Caenorhabditis elegans: one gene and its partners. The protein of the gene in region 2 purifies or fractionates together with the protein of the main gene of each other region. This does not show direct contact. Each region holds a gene or a part of one and is shown on either strand. Other genes may lie near its edges.

Region 1 (5,987 bases), on a different chromosome or scaffold from region 2:
TTTTAAGTAACAGTCAAAAAAAGGAAATTCTTTACTGTTGTTGCCATCAGGGCTGTACATTTTTCGGTTTCCGTTTTTTTCCTGCTTTTGAAGAAAATTTATTTTTAGATATTTTCGGAAAAAAAAGAGATCAATAAAGTAACTGACGAATTCTTAAATTTGGCAGTGTTACTATCCAAAAAAAACACTCGAAATTATAACTTGAGTGTTTTTGTCGAGAATACCTTTTTCGTTTCCGGTTTCGGAAAATAATTGTTTTCGGAGTCCGCCCTGATTTTCATTCATCAATAAAACGATTTTAAGGGCTTTAGATTTCAATTACTTTGTAATTATTCGTATTTAATCATTTTCAGGGTTCAAGACTGCAGCAATGCTTGAAACTACTCAACGATAAATAAATGACTGAAAATGTTGAAAAATCTGAAAAGTTTCGAAGTGTGCATTCTTGACACTCACTCATGTTCTACCAAAAATTTTGACGACACTTTCAAAGTTTCAATAACTTACATCATGAAGTAAATGACCCATGAGAGTACTTTTTCCTGCATCGACATGTCCAACGACAATCAAGTTAATTAAATCTTTATCAGCAACTCTTGGTTTTGGTGTTTTTCGGGCAACTGACGGAGCTTTCGCGATGTTCTGCAGTTGATTGCGTCGAAATGATGTTAAATCGACTTCAGAAGATGGGCGGCTCACAGTTGGAGTTGTTGATTCTGCTTGAAGCTGAAAAATTAGTATATATAAGATATAAATAAGATGCGAAATGATGCTTTCAAAGAAAATTCTCGTATTGGATTACGTGATAACTTAAGTTACAGTTGAATTTTTTAAAGTATTCTCGAGCTCACATTTTTAACTTGCGGCGTTCTTTTTGGAGTATTCAAATTGCTAGACGTTTGTGGTGTACTCGGTCGACTATTAAGATTCTTCGGTGGTTTTTGATTTTGATGGAGCAATGGAGCTGTCATATTTCGTACAATAGTAGAAGATAGGGAAGTTGTTGGAGCTGCAGTAGGTGTTGGAGTTGATACAGGTGGATGATACGATGATGATGGAATACCAGGATGTGGAGCAGGAAGAGCTGGTGAATTGCGACCACTATCTGTCAGATATGTATAGTAGTTTGTGGATAATGAATTACGATCATATGTATATTGCTCTGAAAATTTTAATTAATTATTTGAATGAAAAATAAAGTTTTTCTTACTTTCCGGGTTCTCCTCATCTTCATAATCGTCGTAATCGTCGTCATAATCGTCGTCCATTTCTGAAAAGACAAAATTGTTAATCTTCGGTTTCTTTTTTTTGAAGCTTACCATCTTCTAAATTTAAATTTCGAATAGCACGGTGGCGGGACATCTGAAGAACTGTTTTATATTTAATTCGCAAGTTTTCTTTCCCATCGTTCAAATAGATAGAAAGTTTCGGAAGATTTACAACCGATTTAACGAAATCATAATAGAAACATGGAGGGATAATAAATTTTAATTCAATAATAGCATAACAATAATAAGAAAGATCCTACTACAACAAAAAAAATTCTGAACTTCTAAATGAGATTATTTTTCAGTCATAGTTGGTGGTGGATGATAGAAGAGATTTGAATGAATAACAGTTTCAGTAAGTGAAGAGATTAAAGCTGGTTCATACTTTCCAACTGTTTCAAACGATTTTCCTTCGATAACGTCAATTTGGCGCATTTCTTGAGCAAGCTGAAATTTCGTTTGAATTTGAAACGTTTCAGAAATTAGTTTTAAAAAGGGTATTTTCAAAGTGTATATTTTGCTTACTTTATCCAATTCATTATTCAATGCTTTCCTCTTCTCTTGTGTCTCTCTTTTATGCTCTTCAACTTCTTTATCGTACTTTTCGTGCAATTCTTCCAATCGCTTCTCTTTTTCATTTTCAACTCTCAACTTTAATTGTGCTTCGGCCCATGCCTGAAATTTGTTGTTTTTTTAGTGTTTAAAGTTATCAATTTGCAAACTTTACCTTTCTAGTTTTCACATGAGCTGGCTGTTTCGGTACATGATACGAAATTTTCAGAGCGGCAATTGTTTTCTCGAATGCAGTCTCATTACGTTCACGTAAAATACGAAGAGCTTTACGGCGTTCATTGATTACGAGCCAGATTCGATGGGTGAGCCATGTTGGCTTCTGCAATAAATGTTAGAAATATTGCCTTTTTAAAATGTTAAACTACTTTTTTGGTTTCCTGTCCAATGTCATTAACAAGAAGAGACCAATGCCGAATTAAAGCCGTTAGCCAGGCAACTGAAATTAATTTTAGATAATATTTTGTGATTATTTCTCAAACAAACTTTTCATTTCCAAACTATTTTCATCGAGAGAATGCTGCCTTACTGATTTGATAAGACTTTGTTTCCATTCTTGTGACAACTCTTTTCTCGTCGCCATTTCAACACTAAAAATCTTTTTGACAGACTCTGGAGCATTCGAAAGAACATCTAAATCTTCATATTTCGCACGAGTTTTCGATTTTTCAATACGAGGCAATCCGAATTCGGTTTTTTCGAGAATCTGCAAGAATATTGCTTATATCTATAAAACTCTTGATTATCATACCAAATTATCAGCTGCTTTCAAACCCAAATCGCGTTCACTGCCAATTTTTTCGTAGTAAAGCTTCGTAAGTGCATCGATGTAGTTTTGATCTGAAAATCACTTAATAGAGATATATATCTCGGTACTTGAATATACTCACCCAGTGGCAGTTCTCTCGCTTTTTTCTCAAAGTAATCCGGATCTTGCTTGGCTGGGTCGGTGACCTGAAAATGATATATCAAATTGTGGCTAGTTTTGTTTTTTTTTCCACCCACTTTTTGATGAACGTTGTAGAACGCTGTTCTTCCTCGTTCCAGCCGACACGATGTGTGCACAAATCTTCGAAGATTTATCATCTGAAAGTATTATAGAAAATTGAACAAAAATACCGTTCAAAACTGACTTAATATTAATTAATCTAATCATTCATGAAAATTAAAACAAAAAAAATTTCCACGGCGCCTTGGAACTCAATGAGATACGGTTTGTAAAAGTCCGCAAACACCGTGCCGCTCAACTGCGGACAGCCTCGCTGAATTAAAAAAACCAAGGATTTCTTTCTCGATTGCTTAAAGGGTCCCACCACGATTCAAATATACTACTGTCTTGATTAAAACGGGCTGCTTGTATTTTGGGGGATTTTTTTAATGAATGAGCACTCATGGGCAACATTATTCCCTTTCTATTAAGTTTCATTTAAGGAACAAATAAATTTTAATGATCTATTCAATAATTGATTCCCTCGTCTCCCAATTTTATTGCCTTATTAATTTCGAAACACATTCTCTCATTCACACTCGAAATTTTCAGCGATGGCGACCCACAAGCTGAGCTTCTTCGAAAAGTTGGCCAACACCTTTGGAGCTCTTTACCGTCATCAAGCTCAGCAGTTCCCACGCCGTCTCGCTATTCTCAAGGCTGTTGGAAAGCACGAGCTGGCTCCACCCCGGTCTGCTGACATCCCAGCTATCAAGGCGGACTGGGCTAAGCTCCAGAAGTTTATTGAGACCAAGCAATATGTCAACCTTAGTATCAAGGTAATTTGTTACACGCTGAAACAACACTCAATAAAAAATAACTTCAGGAAAGTCTCGTCTACTCGGCAGTTGCCCTCGAGGTAGTCTTTTGGTTCTTTGTCGGAGAAATGATTGGACGTCGCTACATTTTCGGGTACATTGTTCCAGCCAATTATGTCTCGAAGGATACAAAGGCTAAGGTTGCCGAAAAGAAGAGACTCGCTGCCCTCGAAGCTTAATACATCGATAAGCATATTCATTTGTGAAAATATGTGTTTTTTCTTCAACGTTTGTTAGATAAAAGAAATTAAGGCTTTATTTTTCTAGTTCAATACAAAAAATTACAATCCACTAGTTTCTTCTCCAGCCTCTCGAGTGTAATCCTTCCGATCTTCCTCAAAAGTTTCAAGTGCCTTATTTTTCACTGCATACTGTCTTTTCAGAGATCGGCCTTTGAAAACATGAGAAGTGATTGTTGGAGCAAAAATGATTTGATTCGGAGCGCTAAAAATAAAACTCGTTAGAGAAAAATCAGTTTCGAAATTCTTACTCGGTCGCATCATCCTGGCTTATTGAACTTGTAGAGAGGGTTTTATCTACAGATACTTGTTTCTTGTTGAATTCAATAGTACCGTGCAAGGTATTCATGAAAACAGCATTTCTTTCACAACTCTTCTTGTATCTCGCATTAATTGATGCCAAGGACTCGGACATGATGGTGTTTGCTGTGTTGCTAGGTGGTTCTGTTATTCCAGCATGTTTAACTTTCCCCCCAGCAGTCATTGTCTCAATCAACTTTTCAGCAGTAACCGTGTACTTTCCCTCTGGATCATCGTCCAACGTCATATCCTCTCTGAAATTCAAATATTAAGATCCAACGGATGCAAGCCACGAAAATTACTCTTCGTCTTTTGCCATCCAATAAATCATCTTTCCTTTCTTCAATTGCGAACGGGAAATCGGTTGTTGATACCAACTGGCTGGGAACAGGGCTCTTTTGTCGTCAGTGGTATTCACAACTGAAAATAAACACTCCGATTTCTGTATTGTTTCGTAGTTTTACCGAATTTCTCCATCGGGGCTGTTGGCTCTAAAACTTCTTTTTGCTCCATTGTTTCCACTTTTGTTTGCTTGGGATCGACAGGGGCAGCGTATAAGCTAAAATATGATAATTTCTACATAAAACCATTCGACCCATTGAAACCTTTTCATCTGATCGTACTCTGCTTGGGACTTTTTTATGTTGTCCTGTTTATCTTTCCTTTGCTCCAAACTGATTTTCTGTTTCTTACGAAGAGCGTCCAGTTCCTTTTCACGAGCTGCCTAAAGTTCATGGTTAAAGTAAATTTCTCTATAATCTCTATGTTACGTGATCACGAATCGACACAAACTTTTTTTGTGGAGCCAAAGTGGATAAGTAGTATTCTTTCAATCGTCCAAATTCTACATCAACTTTCACTCCTTGACGATTGACAACCGTATTGGCTCGTTGCATCTTTGGATGGCGCTGAATTTCAAGAAATAATGTATTTCTTTTTAACTTTTTAGATGGATAGTAAAAACCGTAATTAAGCACTTCCTTTGCGCGGCGAGATATATATATATATATACTGTATGCTTACCACGTCTGAATTTTTCGATTTCGAAACGTATTGAGACTGCGTATGAAAGATTTCAACTACTTGCTCCTTTCGAAATTCTTCCCAATTTTTCAGTTGTTTCTGAGCATCCTTCCTGGAAACCAAATCAGATAAGTTATTACATATACATCAATTTATTTAATTACTTGTGAGTTTCATACTGATCATCACTCAGTTTATACCGCTGCTGCATCTTCTTTTTGTAGCTCATCTTCTTCGCCTGTTTCTTTTCATAATCAGATTTCTGTTTATCAGGCGATGGTGATAAACTGAGCTTTTGGAGTTTACCTGAAAGCGCTCGATTTTACTTTAAACCAAAAACTCATCATACTTTTTAAACCAGAGAAATTCATGCTCGCTATTTTTGACTCGAGCACTTGTGAAATGATGCGTGTGAATACTTAGACGTGAATAGAAGGATTAAATGGAAGTTTATTTATCGACTTCACGCGAAAATAAATAAAATTTACACCGAAAACGTGGGTTGGAGAGAGTAAAATGTTTTGAAAAGAAGGATACAAATAAGTTAAACATGGAGATACTGAAACGCATCCTGCACACCGGGGAAAACTTATTCATATTGACAGTTAGTCTCGGCAATCGACCAGTCACCAATAATCTTCTCTTCTTTACCCAAAACGACACCTTCTGTCGCATCAACACGTCCGATTTCGAACTCATTGTCAGCGACGCAGTCGTGGTAGAGAGTAAGTTCAAGCGATTTGCGAAGCACGGCTTCTGCCTCTTCACGGGAGAGGTCTTC
Region 2 (6,211 bases):
TGGCTATTAAGTAGAAAAAGTCCCTTTTAATTCGACATGAAAACATATTTTGTGGCCAATTGAAAACACTCCACCCCCTGACCATGGGTCTCGTTTGGAAGTTGGCGACAAGCCGGAAATTCAAACATTTTGCAGTTAATTTTGCCAATTGTCTGAAGCGAACTGCAACATTTTTCAATTTACAGTTTTTCGGTCTAAATGAATATCAAAACGGGCATTTTTATGCGTCTCCATAGTTTTAAATATTATAAATTTCAATTTTTTTCAGGGAACGAAAATTCTGAAATCTGAAAGAGAATACAACAACACATTCCGACAAGGCCAAGAAAGTCTCAAAGTGAAGCTTTATATTGTTGAAAAGAATCCAAATGCAATCGTCACTCTGAAATATATGAATGTGAGAACATGGAAACGACGAGTAACGATTATTGAAAGTGATATGCGAAGTCTGCCGGGAATTGCGAAAGATCGTGGATTCGAACAACCTGACATAATTGTTTCGGAACTTCTTGGAAGTTTTGGAGATAACGAGTTGAGTCCTGAATGTCTAGATGGTGTCACTGGATTTTTGAAGCCAACAACAATTTCAATTCCACAGAAGTACACTAGCTATGTGAAGCCAATAATGAGTACTCATATTCATCAAACAATTAAAGCTCAAAGTATTCCTTATTTGAGTCGTGCAATTCCATCGCATGGTAGAGGTGAACCGGAATTGGATGAAGACGAAATGTGGATTCAAAAATACCCGTTTGTTTTTCAATTTTTTTATAAAAATATAAACATTCTGCCTTATTACCCCGATGCCAAATTTTGCTAGTCCCGGTCTCGATTAGACAAAATTTTTAAAATTAAAAAAAAAATTCAAACAAAAATCTTTGTTATATGCGAAAACGTGTGCACCTTTAAACTATACTGTAATCTAAGACTTGTTGCTGCAGAGTTTTTATTAATTTTTTATAGTTTTTTTTGGTTGGCATTTTATTATTTTAGTTTAGTTTTGATAAATTGATATTGATTTTTATTTAAAAAACTATGAAAAATCATGGGATATTGAAATTACAGTACTCTTCAAAGGTACAAAAAGTTTCGTATTAACGAATATTTATCGTGTAGATACCGGGTACCGTAATATTAGAAAAAGTATCGCTAAAATTCATGTTGTGGTAATAAATATTTCTGAAGTTTTCTACTCTTGTGTACATAAAGGCCCTGGCCGAGTACACGGAGGTTTCTAGGCCATCTTTTCTTGACGGGAGTATCCGCTCCACAAGTTATGCTTCAATTTACTCTTATTTTAGAATAATTTTTAATTAAAAAAAAAGCATAAAAACTTTTTTTTTAAATTTTAATAAACATTTTCTTTCAGACAAGGACATGTTCGTAACAATATGGATCAAATCTACGTTGTATATCTTTCAAAATACATTCCACTTGCCGAAACCACCAAACCAGTATTCACATTTGAACATCCAAATTTCATGAATTCAAGCAATGAGAGAAGCGATTCTATTGAATTTGTTATGGATAGAAATGCAGATGTAAGTTTTTCAGCAAAAAAAAAAAAAAAAACTTAGAAATTCTTAAGAAAATTTAAAAATATTTTTTCGTTGATTATTTGAGGTAATTTGCTTATATTAAATGCAAAATTCGCACAAATGACAGTCCACCTTTGAAAATAAAACAATGAATTGAAAAATTTTATTGATAAAATATGTGTTTATTAAATTAAAAATCAAATAAGTTAGAACCTAATTTATTTCAGCTGATGGGATTCGCCGGCTACTTTGATCTTCAACTCTACAAAACCGTGATGCTTTCAATTGAACCATCAACTCATACACCTGGAATGGTCAGTTGGTTCCCAGCTGTTATTCCACTTAGAGATCAATTGAGAGTTGGAGAAGGTGACAGAATTTCTCTGAAAATCGATCGAAAAGTTGACAATACTGGTGTGTGGTACGAATGGCATGTTGAAAAAAAGGTAACAGTTTTTGATAACTTATTAAGATTATAGTTGAGTTTTTTCCAGAAAACCAATGGCGAATCTGTGAGCACCCCGATCCAGAATCCAAATGGAGAGAGCTATTACATGAGAATGTAGTGCCTAGTTTTTCGCTTTTATAATTATTATTTTCCTGTTTTAATCCTAATTGTTGATGTGTTATTCACTTTTGCGCCCCTATTGAATTTCCCAATCATTCCTAGAATTTTTTCCGTTGGTTTTCCCATTTCCTGTTGCCCATTTTCCGGTTCATTAATTTGAAGATTCTTTTTTGCTCCGGTATCTATCGCGATTCGATTGTTGCTCCTTTTAATTCGATATTAATTGTTTAAAAATTCAGTTTTTAAGTTTCCGTTAATTTTCCGAATTAAAGAGCTTGTTTTATTCTGTTGTTTTTTTGTAATTTTGAATTATAGTTATTAGTTTTCATACTAAAACATATTTTTATAGAGATTTTAAAGTTTTCCCAATTATTTTTCATTTAAAAATATTTTCAGAATGTTGATAAACAGTTCTCGTTTATCAATTTCTTCAACGGGACGATGTCTTTTGGCATCTGCCATGTCACAAATGGACGAAGTATTCGGAGTACAGAAGAGACAAATGGGACGACGGCAACCAAAGCAGGGAAAACCACCAATTTTGCCTCCATCGAAGAAAGTGAGTTCTATTGATTTTTTCACTAGAACAAAAATTGGAACATAAAAAAATCCAATTTTTGCCGAAAAAAATGCGCCAGCGGGGCTTTTTCCCAAAATGACAGAAAATGTCTCAATATACCGAATATAACTGTTAGAAAATTTACAGTATTTTTCTAACTCCTTAAAAATGGGTTTTTTCAGTCTTGCAACAAAAAAACGTGCAACTTTTTATTGAAAAATTTAGAAGAATTCTATAAATTTTTAACAGTTTTAAATTTTGTTACTCTTATCTATAAATTCACAAAATTCAGGTTCTCTACCACGTTGTGCATGCTCCATGGCAGAAACCAGAAGATGTCGAGGAGCTCCTCTGGCGTCGTCATGCATACAACAATGCAGTTATTTCACTTCGAGAAGTATTCCGTGCAGAACTTGCTCAAAATGCATCTCATGGTCAGGGTATCGAAGCAATGAAAGAAGCAGAAGCACTTGAATTAGACGAATTAATTGCTCAAAATGAGAAGCGGAATGAAGAAAAACGGGCGGCACGTAAAGAACGAGAAGCCGAAGATGCGAAGGAAACAAAATCTGTAATTTTGGAAGAAATTCGAGTTGAATTGGAGAAAAGAAATGCAGGCAAAAAGCAGGCAGAAGATGAAGTTAAAAATGCAATTTCTCGTTCAAGTGAATTCATTACTCGTTCAAATCTTGAAACTAAAATTCTCGAAGCACTCGAAAAGCCAACAATTTACGATTTTGCAATTGATCGGGCTGGGAACAAGTATTTCGTACCTGAACCAGTTAAATATCAAGAAGGAACACCAACTCGACAAAAAGGACGATTGTATGATCAGACATTGGGTACACAACATGGAACTATCGAAGAAGCTAATAAGATACAACAGAAAAGTGTTTAGAGGACATGATGTGAGTTATTTTTGAACATCGAAAAATAAAAATAATAAAAAAATCTTCTAATGTAGTAATATTTTTGTTTTCAAATTTTTGAATTTTTTGAAGAAATGAAATTTTCATCTCTGGTAATTTCTCTACATAAAAATCAACTTTTTTTGATAAGTCTATAGACTAGACTACTATATTTCCTTACAATTTTTTCCAGTTTTACGAATTTCAATTTTTCAGTTCGAAAATCGAAAATTTTTCGACGACATCCATGTTCAATATAAACTTGTAGTTTGTGAGAAAAAAATATGAAATAATTGGAAAAGTGTTACACTTTTAAATATTTTCTGTAATCAATATTTTCGTTTACCTAATAATTTACTTTTTTTATTTCAGATTTGCCATTTCCCCAACTGGTCATCATCATTCTTCCCAAAAGGGACAACATTGTAGTCTACACACATTTCTTCCTAATTCGGATGATAACACTATAAGATAACTGTTCTCTGTCTCCGTCTCTTGTTCTCTCTTTCTCATTATTTTTTTTTGTATTCTATTTCCCTTTTTGAGTTTATACAAATTATATCAATTTTTGTTTTCTTTTTCTCTGTTTCAAATTCCAGTTTTCTAGACATTTTCCCTTTAGATAGACTTTTGCTGTTATAAGTTTTTGATTTTTTTCATAAATCTACAATCGTTTCATTTTACTTTCTTTAATTTGACTGTCTAAAATATTCGGATTTCAGCCGGTTGAAAATATCAGAAGAATGAACACATATGTGGCTGAAATTGGGGAAATTGTGAGATCTCAGCGAAGAGATGAAGAGTATATTGAAGATATTACAGAAAGATTGAGCAGGGTAATTAAAAAATTAGATTAGATTTTTTTTTTGAAAATTACGGTGCCTGGTCTCGACACGACAAAATTTTGTTAAATGTAAAAGGGCGTGCGCCTTTAAATTCAAAGATTACAGTAATTCACAATCTCTTTTTGCGGAATTTTCACAGATTTTTCCACAAACACATGACATTTAGAAAATAACTTTAAGTAACAACAATCGGTTGAAAATTTAAGAAACTACAGTACTATTTAAAAGCGCACACATTTTAGAATTTAACAGAAAATTTGTCGCGACGAGAATAATCCAATTACACAACAGGAATAAGTCAAATTGCCAAACTGTTTTTGTGATAAAAAATTAGTTATTTGAATTTCTTAAATTTCTAGGTCAGCAAAGAGCTTCTGGGCCAACGTACGTGGATTCGGTGGTTTCCGTATTTAAAATCCATCGCATCGACTCTTTATTATACGAGCACAGTTGTATTAGGTCAGAATATTAATATTTCAATCATAAATCAAGAAATCCCATTTTCGTTCAGGAAATCAAACTCTTGGCGAGGAATACGTTCATTTATTTGAATCAAACGGTCTTGAACGAACAGTTCCATCGATTCCATCACGGATTTCTTTTGTTCTTCTTCATTCAGCATTTCCATTAATTTCAAATTATTTGATTCAGGTGATTTTCATAGTTTCTTTTTGAAAATATTTGTGAAAATAAGTTTACAGAAAGCAGAATCAACACTTACACATCCATCAACTGAATCATTTCTTGGAATTCCGATTCGAAAAAATCAAAAAGCTCGTCAATCATTTCTTGACGTGTTTTTCTGGTTGAGAACTAAACTTTTTCCACAACTTCAACGTGCTCATATTGCTCTTTTCTATATAACTGGAGCATATTATAGCATCGCCAGAAGATTCACTGGAATTCGATTTTTATCAGCCAGTGCTCATTCGGATATTCCTGTACGTTAAGTGGATAGTCTCATTTTGGGTCCCGGCACGAGTGAGACTTTCCAGCTACCGTACTCCCAATCTAGATAGATTTTCAAAATTTTATTGGGTTTCATTACCCAGACGCGAATTATTACAGTAGTCTTTAAAGGCGCACACATTTTTAAATTTAACAAAAAATTTGTCGTGTCGAGACCGGGTACCGTATTTTTGCCACAAAAACATTAAGCTTTTCAATATTTAAAGTTTTCAGGCGCTGAAAGTTTATCGATTCCTTGGTTATATAACATTAATTCAATTGGCAGTTAGTATTGGAATATCATTATATTCATTTCTAGAACAGGAGAAATTCAATAATAAATTGAAAAAGGAGAAAAAAGAAAACAACGGAGGATCGGATAGGAATCTAGACGAGAATTCGGTGAGTTTTTCACGAGCATATAATAATTTTGAAATAACAATTTCTTTCAGCTATTTCATCCAACATTCCAGTGTTCAATTTGTCTTGAAAACAAGAATCCATCTGCTCTTTTCTGTGGACATTTATTCTGTTGGACGTGTATTCAGGAGCACGCAGTAGCTGCCACGTCATCCGCTTCAACTTCATCTGCTCGTTGCCCACAGTGTCGATTGGAATTTCAACCTCGTGACGTCACGCCTTTACTTAATTTGTAATAATGATATTTTCTGGAAAATTCACTTCGCATCTCTTGAATTACGGGTTTAAGGTATTTTGTAACAAATTTGAAGAAAATGAGAAATTATGATTTTCAGCCAAATAATCTCCGTTTACTTTCCACTTCAACTCATCCAACAATATATTTCACTGGAATACAACCAACTGGAATTCCACATCTCGGCAAT
Region 3 (9,832 bases), on a different chromosome or scaffold from region 2:
GTTCGAAGCACATCGATGCACAGTTGCCAGAAACAGTACTCACTAAACTATTCGGCGTACCGCATCTGAAATAAGGGTGTCTGGTTGCATTTAAGTTATGCCGCTAGGTGTATGATTATAACATGAAAACGCACTTGTCATCAAACAGGAGATTCGCCGGTTTCAGCGGAAGTCCTGTTGCTCCCCAATCTTCCATTAAGTTTGATGTTGCACACTGGATGCAATCTTTGTCCTGCGCCCGGACTCCCAAAATCCACATCATAAATGTTAACAAAAAAATTTGAATTTTCAATGACATCATTATGCCTTTTTATCTGAAAAAATATTTATATTTAGATTAAATAAACATAAAAAGAATAACAAGAAAAAGGACAAAATTCCAATTGAACGAGCCGGGACAATTGAGCACTCGGAGCACTTCTTTTATACGAAAAATGTTTGTTTGTCTATTAAAGTGACTCAAAAAGTCATAAAAGGGGTTCTGAAATTCTGGAAAAGTCTGAAAAATTCTCAGAAAAAAAACAAGAATTTACGACCGTATAGGCAAATAGTTTTCAGAGAATGTCAGTTTTGAGAAGAGTCATGAGTTTTAGTGTATTATGTGCAGTGAGTCAATTATACAAATAAGAACAGGAAAATACTGTTATAGAATTGGATTTGGTTTTTTTTTTTAATTTTTTAATCATTGTTGCAAAAAAATTAGGAAAAAAACATATATTACGAGAAGACAAAAATCCTGAGAAAGCATATCGCCTAACATATCTCTAAATCTAAAAATATCTCATAGCGAAAACTACAGTAATTTCATGAAGGACTACTGTAGCGCTGGTGTCGATTTACGGGTTCGGTTTTCGAATTTTCTTTAGTTTTTTCGTACTGTTTTGTCCTTTTTTGTGTTTTCTTTCGATGTTTCATCGATTAATAAATGATGCCCGTAAATCGACACAAGCGCTACAGTACAGTGGATGGAAAACGATTTTTTCCGGCCAATCGGCAAACCGGCAAATCGGCAAACCGGCAAATTGCCGATGTGCCGAATTTGCCGGAAAACTGGAGTTTACCGAAAATTTTCGGCAAATTGTAGTTTCGCACTTATGTTTTTGGAAATTTCAGAATATCAATTTCAAATGACAAAATTAAGCGCATCCTATGAATGTTCCTACATCTATTTTGAAAAGTAAGCAAATTCTATGAAAATATGTAGAAAAAACGGGAAAAAAATTCATAAAGACACAGTTTTAAGTGTTTCCTTATAAAAAATCCCTCTAAACAATTCTGGCAAACGGGCAATTTGCCGGAATTAAAAATTTCCGGCAAATCGGCAAACCGGCAAGCAAATTGCCGGATTTGTTACAATTTTTTGAACAGCTAATTTTTTTTTGAACTTTTCAGAAAAAATTGAGGAATTTTTTTGAAGTTCTTTGAAAAAATCTTCAAAAATTCGATTTTTCGAAATATTTTAATTGTTTTCTTGTCCCGCAAATCATTCGTAAATTAAAAAAAAGTAATATTAAAGAATCTGTATTAAGAAAATAACAAACAAGTGAAAAAGTCAACAAAACAGGTAACAATGAAAAAATAGTTTTAAAAATTGGGGGAAAATTTGGCAAAAATTCCTAATCCTTGTGTCCTTCATGTTTTGCAAAAGTTTCAGCAACCAAAAGTGGGAATACAAGTGTCGCCTCAGCATGAACCTTCACAGCTCCAGCCGACGGCTTAACCTTCCCCCAGCTCACTGCCTCGTCGGGTTGAGCTCCAGAATCGGAGCCATCGAATTCTTGGCCGGTGTTGATGTAGACGGTATGATCTGCGCCGTTTCTCATGAGATTCGCGTTGTTGATGTGGTGTTTTACGACTCCTGGAATTGTAGGATTTTTTGACAAAAATGGGGAAAAATTCTGGAAAGCATTTTTTTCAAATTTTGTGAATTTGATTTTAAAAAATTAGTTTAAATTCTTTTTGTTTAAAGTCCAAATTTTTTTTTACATACTCAGCTTTTTTTCAAAGAAATTTTACGTTAAAATTTTCGAGAAATTTTTTTATTTTGGAAAAAACTAGAAAAAAGTGTATGAAAATTAAATTTAACAATAAATTTGGAAAATTGCTTTCATTACTATGGTATTTTCAAATTCAAAATTCAAAGTTTAATTTTTTTCTCAATTTTTTTCAATAATTTTTCAATCTTCAGAAAACTGCAAAAAAAATGTTGGAAAATTCATAAAATTTTTGAGAAAAAATTAATTTAAAATTTCTAAAACAGGGTTTTTCACATATTTTTTTTAATTTCGGACCTCCTCCTAAAATAATTGATCCAGTCTTGAAACTTTTGACAGCAATTGTATTAATATGTCGAACGTCCTCTACAATATCCACACGAAGCCCAGGTGAGCTTTTCACCGAATGGAAGTACAACATGTCACCTGAAAAAATTGACTAAAATAAAAATTTTTTGAATTTTTTTTTCAAATTTCAAAAACTTTAACAATTTTTTGCAAATTTTGTTTAAAAATAATGCAATTTTTTTTTTCGATGCTCTCTTATAAAAAATCCCTTTAAACATTTTCGGCAAATCGGCAAAACGGCAATTTGCCGAAAAAAAATTTTTTCCGGCAAATGGGCAAATCGGCATTTTGCCGGAATTTAAAATTTCCGGCAAATTGGCGGAATTTAATATTTCCAGCAAATCGCTAATTTGCCGAAAATGAAAATTTCCGGCAATAGGCAAACCGGCAAATTGTCGGAATTAAATATTTCAGGAAAATCGGCAATTTGCCGAAAATGAAAAATTACGGCAATCGACATATTGCCGGAATTGAAAAATTTTGGAAAATTTGGCAAATTGCCGGAATTGAACATTTCCGGCAAATCGGCAATTTGCCGAAAATGAAAAATTCCGGAAATAGGCCAACCGACAAATTGGCGGAATTTAATATTTCCGGCAAATTGGCGGAATTTAATATTTCCGGCAAAACGCTAATTTGCCGAAAATGAAAATTTCCGGCAATAGGCAAACCGGCAAATTGTCGGAATTAAATATTTCAGGAAAATCGGCAATTTGCCGAAAATGAAAAATTCCGGCAATCGACATATTGCCGGAATTGAAAAATTTTGGAAAATTTGGCAAATTGCCGGAATTGAACATTTCCGGCAAATCGGCAAACCGGCAAATTGGCGGAATTGAAAATTTCCGGCAAATCGGCAATTTACCGAAAATGAAAATTTCCGGAAATAGGCCAACCGACAAATTGGCGGAATTTAATATTTCCGGCAAAACGCTAATTTGCCGAAAATGAAAATTTCCGGCAATAGGCAAACCGGCAAATTGTCGGAATTAAATATTTCAGGAAAATCGGCAATTTGCCGAAAATAAAAAATTCCGGCAATCGACATATTGCCGGAATTGAAAAATTTCGGAAAATTTGGCAAATTGCCGGAATTGAACATTTCCGGCAAATCGGCAAACCGGCAAATTGGCGGAATTGACAATTTCCGGCAAATCGGCAATTTGCCGAAAATGAAAATTTCCGGAAATAGGCCAACCGACAAATTGGCGGAATTTAATATTTCCGGCAAAACGCTAATTTGCCGAAAATGAAAATTTCCGGCAATAGGCAAACCGGCAAATTGTCGGAATTAAATATTTCAGGAAAATCGGCAATTTGCCGAAAATAAAAAATTCCGGCAATCGACATATTGCCGGAATTGAAAAATTTCGGAAAATTTGGCAAATTGCCGGAATTGAACATTTCCGGCAAATCGGCAAACCGGCAAATTGGCGGAATTGACAATTTCCGGCAAATCGGCAATTTGCCGAAAATGAAAAATTCCGGCAAACCGGCAAATTGCCGAAAATGAAAAATTCCGGCAAATTTGCCAACAAATTCTTTCAAAAAATTCAATTTTTTTTCCAATTTTTCAAAATCTTTGAATATTTTTTTTTGCAAAATTGATAAATTAAAAAAAATCTATTTTCAAAGTTTTTTCGAATTTTTTCTCCAAAATTCGATTTATTTTTCAAAATCCAAATTCAAAATCCCCTACCCAATGACCCATCAGTAAGCGCCGGACAAAATACGGGAATCCGATGCTTGGCCGCCCAATACAGTATCGACGATTCATCACCAATCCGTTCACCAAGCCGTTGAATAAGCTTTGACGGTGTCCAATTGAGATGCTTTTCCTCTTGTTCAACAAGACATTCATCAAGAATTGGCATAAGCCAATCCTCAAATGCACAATAATTATCATTCGGAATGAGCACATTGCCGGCTCGATTCATTCCATTCGATCGAAGTTTTGCACCGTCCATTGTGAATGTACCGAGGTAGGAAGGTTTGAGACATTTGATGAGATCCTCTTCGATGCCTCCCGCTGATGTTACGATACAGTCGACTAGGTTACGTTGGACACAATAGCGGAGTACCTGGAATTTTTAATTTTTCATTTGGGTGGATTTACGAATTTAGAGTGAATTTACGGTACCTTTATGTAGATTTACGGGGAAATTTCAGGTTTTGTGTAGATTTACGAGACGCTAATTTCGGTGTAGATTTACGGAAGTATATGTTCTTGTGTAAATTTACGAGAAATAACAGCACATTGAATTTGAATTTAAAAATTTTTTTAGAGACGGTTTGGTGTGGATTTACGGGGGCATTTTAGTGTAGATTTACAATATTTCTTAATGGATTTAGGCTTCTGGGCCAATTTTAGAATTGATGTGTAGATTTACAAGGAGAATCAGTTCTGTGTAGAATTACGGTGAGCATAGTTTTTGTGGGTAGATTGACGAGAAAGCTGAGTATTTATTTTCCTGTGTAGATTTACGAGAAGTATTAATTTTTGTGTAGATTTACAGGGAAATTGTGTTTTTTTTTGTAGATTTACGAGAAGCAGGATTTTTTAGATGTAGATTTACGACGAATACAAATTTTATTTAGATTTACGGGGAATTTGAATTTCTGTGTAGATTAACCAGGAAATTCCGTTTTTATGTAGATTTACGGAGAAATTCAATTTTGTGTAGATTTACGAGGATCAATTTTGTGTAGATTTACGGGGAGATTCAGTTTTGTGTAGATTTACGGAAAAATATATTTTTTCTTGTGTAGATTTACGGGGATTGGTGTGGATTTACGGGGACATTTTAGTGTAGATTTGGGTCATTTTTAGAGTTGATGTGTAGATTTACAAGAAGAATCAGTTATGTGTAGAATTACGGTAACCATAGCTTTTTAAGGTGTAGATTTACGAGAAACTTTGATTTTTGTTGTAGATTTACTTCATGTAAATCTAATTTGTTGGTAGATTTACATGAAGCACTAGTGTTTCAGGTGTAGATTTACGAGGACTTTCAATTTTTGTGTAGATTTACGGGGAATTTTAATTGTTTTTTCGTAGAATTGCGGGAAGCACTAATTTTTCACGTGTAGATTTACGGGGAAATTCAGTTTTCGTGTAGATTTACAAAGATCAATTTTGGGTAGATTTACGGTAAACATAGTTTTCGTGTAGAATTACGAGGAATTTCAACTTTTGTGTAGATCTTTTGTAGATTTACGGACCTCACGAAGCCCACTGGTCACCAAATTCGACGTGTATCCGAGGAAAATAGTACATGATCTCTTTTGCCGACCTTCTGGATATGGGAAAAGCTTCTCGTCGTCGTCACAAGTCAACGGAGTATCACGGAGGGAGAGCATTTGATTTACTTGCTGAAAATTGGGAAAATTCGGAATTTATTGAGTAAAACAATTTTTTGCTGCTATTTTTCCAAATTTTTTGTAAAAAAAATTATTTTTTGAAGTTAAAATTCTTCCAGAATTTTATTTTAAAAAATCTATAAGTCCGACTATTTCAAAAATTAAAAATAAAAATTTTTGCGATTTTTTCAAAATTTTTTAAAAATTTAACTATAAGTTTAAAAAATTTTTATTTGGAATTTGAGAAAAAAAAATAAAAAAGGTCGACTTTCTCAGAAAATCATAAAAAAAAGGAAAATTTCCGCCTAAAAAATGTAAAAAAGCATTTTCGAAATACATTTTTTTATGATTTTTTTCTAATTTTTTCTTTTTTACATTATTTTATGTTTAAATATAATTTAATTTCAACTTTCCCAGAATTTTTTTTTTTTTTAATAAAATTTTTTTTCGATTCAAAAAAAATCAATAAGTCTGACATTCTCAGAAAATCATTAAAAAACCGGGAATTTTCGAATTAAATTTTTTTTTCGAAATTTTCAATTTTCCTTCTGATTTCCAAATTAAATCTGAATTTTTTGCAACTGGCTACCTGAATAGCCTGAGCCAAATGTGTTGCCTGAAATCCTGTGCTCATATAAGACGAAAGAATGGCGGAAAGCGAGAAATCCGGACCAGAAGCCGTGCTGAAATCGAATCCGCGAATCGGAATTGAACCATCCGGTACTTGACATGATTTCACGAGAACTGCTCCCTGAGCAAGTGCTATATCCTCCTGAGATGCTGCTGCTTCGTTGGTGCTCATTTTGGAGCAAGTTTCTGAAAAATTGAGGCGGGTTTTTACTGAATTTACTATTAGTTAGGTGTAAAATTAGACAAAATATTAAAATTTTTTGAAAAAATCCAAAAAAAAAAATACAATAAATCAAATAAAATATGATTGAAAACTGAATTAACAAAATTTGTACCAAAAAAAATCGGAAAAAAATGAATAAGCATAAATTTATAGACATTTTAGCAGGAAAATAGAAATTAAAACCGGAATGAAATCACATAAAATCAAATCAATTTACAATAAAAATGCCGATTTTTATACAATTTTTTTTAGCAATTTAGATTTCGTAGTTTAGAAAAAATTCAGAATTTTTTTTTCGAAAAAAAAAACAACTTTTTTTTGGTTCGATTTTATAAAGAAAGTTCACAACAAAAAAAAACCAAAATTTGTTTGAAAAAAATAAAAATCATCGAAATTCGATTTTTGTAAAATTTCTCAAAAAAAATCCGTAATTAATTCAAAAATTCTCAATTCGTTTAAAATTTAAATTGTGGAAGTTTTTCCGAAAACAAAAATTCCGAAAAATGCCAATTTTTTGAAAAATTTCGCTTTTTTGGAAATTTTACTTTCGTAATTTTAGAATTTTGTTCGTTTCCATAATTAAAATTTCATTGAAAATCATTTAAATTCTTTTTTTTTTCAAAAAATCTGTAATTAATTCTAAAAATTCTCCCAGATTGTGGAACTTTCCAAAAACCAAAAAGAAAGTTTTTTATTCGAAATTAAGATATTTTTTCTAAATTAAAACAAAATAATTTTTTGATTTCAAAAAATTGTCATTTTTTAATTTAGAAAAATTTAAAACGAATAGAGTATTTTTTGAATTAATTATTTAATTTCGGATTTTTTTTTAAATTCGATCGAATTCAGATGATTTTTAATCAAATTTCAGTTTTTTTTTCCAATTTTGTACATTTTCTGAATTAAAAAATAGTAAAATTCCTCAAATGTTCATTGAAATTTCGAAAAAAAAAATTCTGAAAAAAATTCTTTTGCTAATTTTTTCCATAAATACAAATTACAAAATTTCTTTTAAAAAACACTTTTTCTTGTTTTTTTTTTTAATTTTTTTTCCAAAATTTAGATAATTTTACAATGAAAAAAGCTTAAATTTTCAAGAAAATTATATTAAAAAACCAAAAAAAAAATTAGAATTTATTCTTCATTTCTCTCAATTTGGCCATTCCCACGACCGCATCGCATGTCCCAATCGATTTTTGAATTTCCTCAGATTCCCGTACCCTCATAAATGGATTCGTTGCTTTTTCCTCAGCTACAGTACTCGGAACCGTAAATCCACCCTGCTCAATTTGTCGTTGAGCCCACTCGAGCTTCTGAGCAGCTTTCTCGTTGCCAGGTTCCACGTGGCACGCGAATTTCAGGTTGGCGACAGTGTACTCGTGTCCCGGAAATATTTGGGTCTCGACTGGAAGATTTTTGAGAATTTCGTTGAGTGCCACGTCCATTTGTGGTGCCGTGCCCTCGAAGAACCGCCCACAACCGGCGATGAATAGGGTGTCACCGGTGAAAACGACTCCAGGGGAAGTGGAATCTGCGGCAGGATTTGTGATGTGGTAGCAGATGTGACCGGATGTGTGACATGGAGTGGATAGACATTTTATCTGGAAATTTTAGGAATTTATTAGAGAAAAAAAGGATTTTTAAATACTTTTTAAAGGTTTTTTTTCGGATTTTTTTGGATTTTTTTTTGTTCGATTTTTTTTTTAATTTTGGATTTTTTTTGTTTGATTTTGCAAGAATTTTTTGAGGATTTTTCGGATTTTTTAATACTTTTCAAAATTTTTTTCGGATTTTTTGAAATAATTTTTTTGGATTTTTAAATACTTTTTAAAGGATTTTTTTTTGGATTTTTTAAAAAATTTTTTCGAGGATTTTTTGGGACTTGTTTTGGAGTTTTTTTGGATTTTTAAATAATTTTAAAAATACACCTTTTTTCTGTTTTGGAATATTTTTTTGAAATTATTTAGGGTTTTTTTTTTGGATTTTTAATAATTTTCAAAGGATTTTTTTGTTAGATTTTAAAAGAATTTATTTTGTTGGTTTTTTTAAAGAATTTTTTTTGGAATTTGGAATTTTCTTTTGAATTTATTTAAGAAATTTTTTTGAATATTAAAAAAAATTGCAATAATTAATTGCAATAAAATTTGCACAATTTCAATCATTGTGTCATTTTTGTAAAACAATTTTTGAAAAAAACCGCAATTTTTGATTTTTGTTGAAAATATCTGATTTTAAAACATTTTTTCACGAGAAAATATTCAGAAATTCAAGAAGATAAGGTTTTTTTTTAAACTGGAATTTAAGAAAAACTGCAGCGATTTTTTAGAAAAAAGTTAAAATCTGCAATTTTTTCCGTTTTTTTTGCTGAAAACTGCTAATAAATTTTTTGAATAAAAAATTCCAATTTTTTTATTATACCAACAAAAAATCGATTTTTTTTTTGTAGAAAAAGGGTTGAATTTTCAAAAAATTTTCAGCAACTTCTGGAAACCCCAAGTTTTTTTATTATTTCAAAAAATTAAAATTTCATGCTAGGTCTTCTAAAAAAACCAATATTAAAATTTTGGAACAAAAAAAATTTAATTTTTTTTTCAAAAATCAAATTTCAAAAAAATAACCTGAAGCCCAGCGAACTCTGCCATATCACCATGCTTCACGTGCCGATCCATTGCCGGAATCCTTGAATCTCCACCGAGAATCATGACATTCGGGAATTGACGACGAAATCCTTCATTTCCACCACAATGATCATAGTGGTGATGGGTGGTTAGTACTGCTGTTATATCGATCTGTAGGAGAAAACAAATTAATTATTGACAAAATTTTTATGGCGAATAAAAACTGTTTAAAATGGAAAGTGAATAATGGGAAAAAAATCATTTTTTGGAAATTTTTTTTAATTGAAAGTATTTTTATTTTATTTTTAAATAAAAAAAAATTCTATTAACCCTATATATGCTCCTGATACCGAATATCGATCTAAAAATATTCAAAAAAATTTCCCTGATTTTATATTAATTTTTAAAAATCCGAAAATCCATTGGTTTGTTAATTTCAAACTACAAATTTTGAATGATAACTGTGCCGCAGGTGTGTGGATTTACGAGATTAATATTTTTAATTCATTTTTATTTAATTTTCATACCAATTTTCCCGATTTTTCTATTTTTTCGTTATTTTACATTGAAATTTCTTGTGAGCTCCATGAATTTTTTATTGATAGAAACAAATAAAATTACATGAAGTATTATATTTTCAGATATTTCATTTAAATTTT

What was found.
Region 1: the proteins of mrps-26 (region 2) and mrps-15 fractionate together in Caenorhabditis elegans (co-fractionation; one large-scale study listed by BioGRID). This does not show direct contact.
Region 3: the proteins of mrps-26 (region 2) and dhps-1 fractionate together in Caenorhabditis elegans (co-fractionation; one large-scale study listed by BioGRID). This does not show direct contact.

The regions. Positions count from the first base shown.
Region 1 is NC_003279.8:8,689,568-8,695,554, forward strand, and holds mrps-15 (Small ribosomal subunit protein uS15m), read right to left. Parts: upstream 2,995-5,987; 5' UTR 2,972-2,994; intron 2,925-2,971; coding exon 2,844-2,924; intron 2,793-2,843; coding exon 2,729-2,792; intron 2,679-2,728; coding exon 2,590-2,678; intron 2,545-2,589; coding exon 2,325-2,544; intron 2,278-2,324; coding exon 2,207-2,277; intron 2,161-2,206; coding exon 1,996-2,160; intron 1,944-1,995; coding exon 1,794-1,943; intron 1,716-1,793; coding exon 1,563-1,715; 3' UTR 1,472-1,562; downstream 1-1,471. Other genes in the region: hbs-1 (Tr-type G domain-containing protein), read right to left, coding at 508-726, 852-1,162, 1,211-1,270, 1,320-1,362; asg-1 (putative ATP synthase subunit g 1, mitochondrial), read left to right, coding at 3,381-3,605, 3,653-3,823; K07A12.5 (Pre-mRNA-splicing factor SYF2), read right to left, coding at 3,926-4,088, 4,135-4,437, 4,486-4,603, 4,648-4,742, 4,789-4,907, 4,954-5,091, 5,207-5,318, 5,371-5,512 and 1 more; pbs-7 (Proteasome subunit beta), read right to left, coding at 5,796-5,987.
Region 2 is NC_003281.10:5,232,115-5,238,325, forward strand, and holds mrps-26 (Small ribosomal subunit protein mS26), read left to right. Parts: upstream 1-2,502; 5' UTR 2,503-2,503; coding exon 2,504-2,665; intron 2,666-2,957; coding exon 2,958-3,563; 3' UTR 3,564-3,573; intron 3,574-3,945; 3' UTR 3,946-4,250; downstream 4,251-6,211. Other genes in the region: prmt-5 (Protein arginine N-methyltransferase 5), read left to right, coding at 269-750, 1,370-1,541, 1,766-1,984, 2,033-2,104; prx-10 (Tryptophan--tRNA ligase, mitochondrial), read left to right, coding at 6,025-6,075, 6,122-6,211.
Region 3 is NC_003280.10:11,989,687-11,999,518, reverse strand, and holds dhps-1 (Deoxyhypusine synthase), read right to left. Parts: upstream 6,519-9,832; 5' UTR 6,505-6,518; coding exon 6,292-6,504; intron 5,715-6,291; coding exon 5,565-5,714; intron 4,424-5,564; coding exon 4,042-4,423; intron 2,421-4,041; coding exon 2,292-2,420; intron 1,859-2,291; coding exon 1,617-1,858; 3' UTR 1,509-1,616; downstream 1-1,508. Other genes in the region: Y17G7B.23 (DUF281 domain-containing protein), read right to left, coding at 1-65, 135-259; Y17G7B.3 (hydroxyacylglutathione hydrolase), read right to left, coding at 7,683-8,156, 9,174-9,344. UniProt on the Caenorhabditis elegans protein: Catalyzes the NAD-dependent oxidative cleavage of spermidine and the subsequent transfer of the butylamine moiety of spermidine to the epsilon-amino group of a critical lysine residue of the eIF-5A precursor protein to form the intermediate deoxyhypusine residue.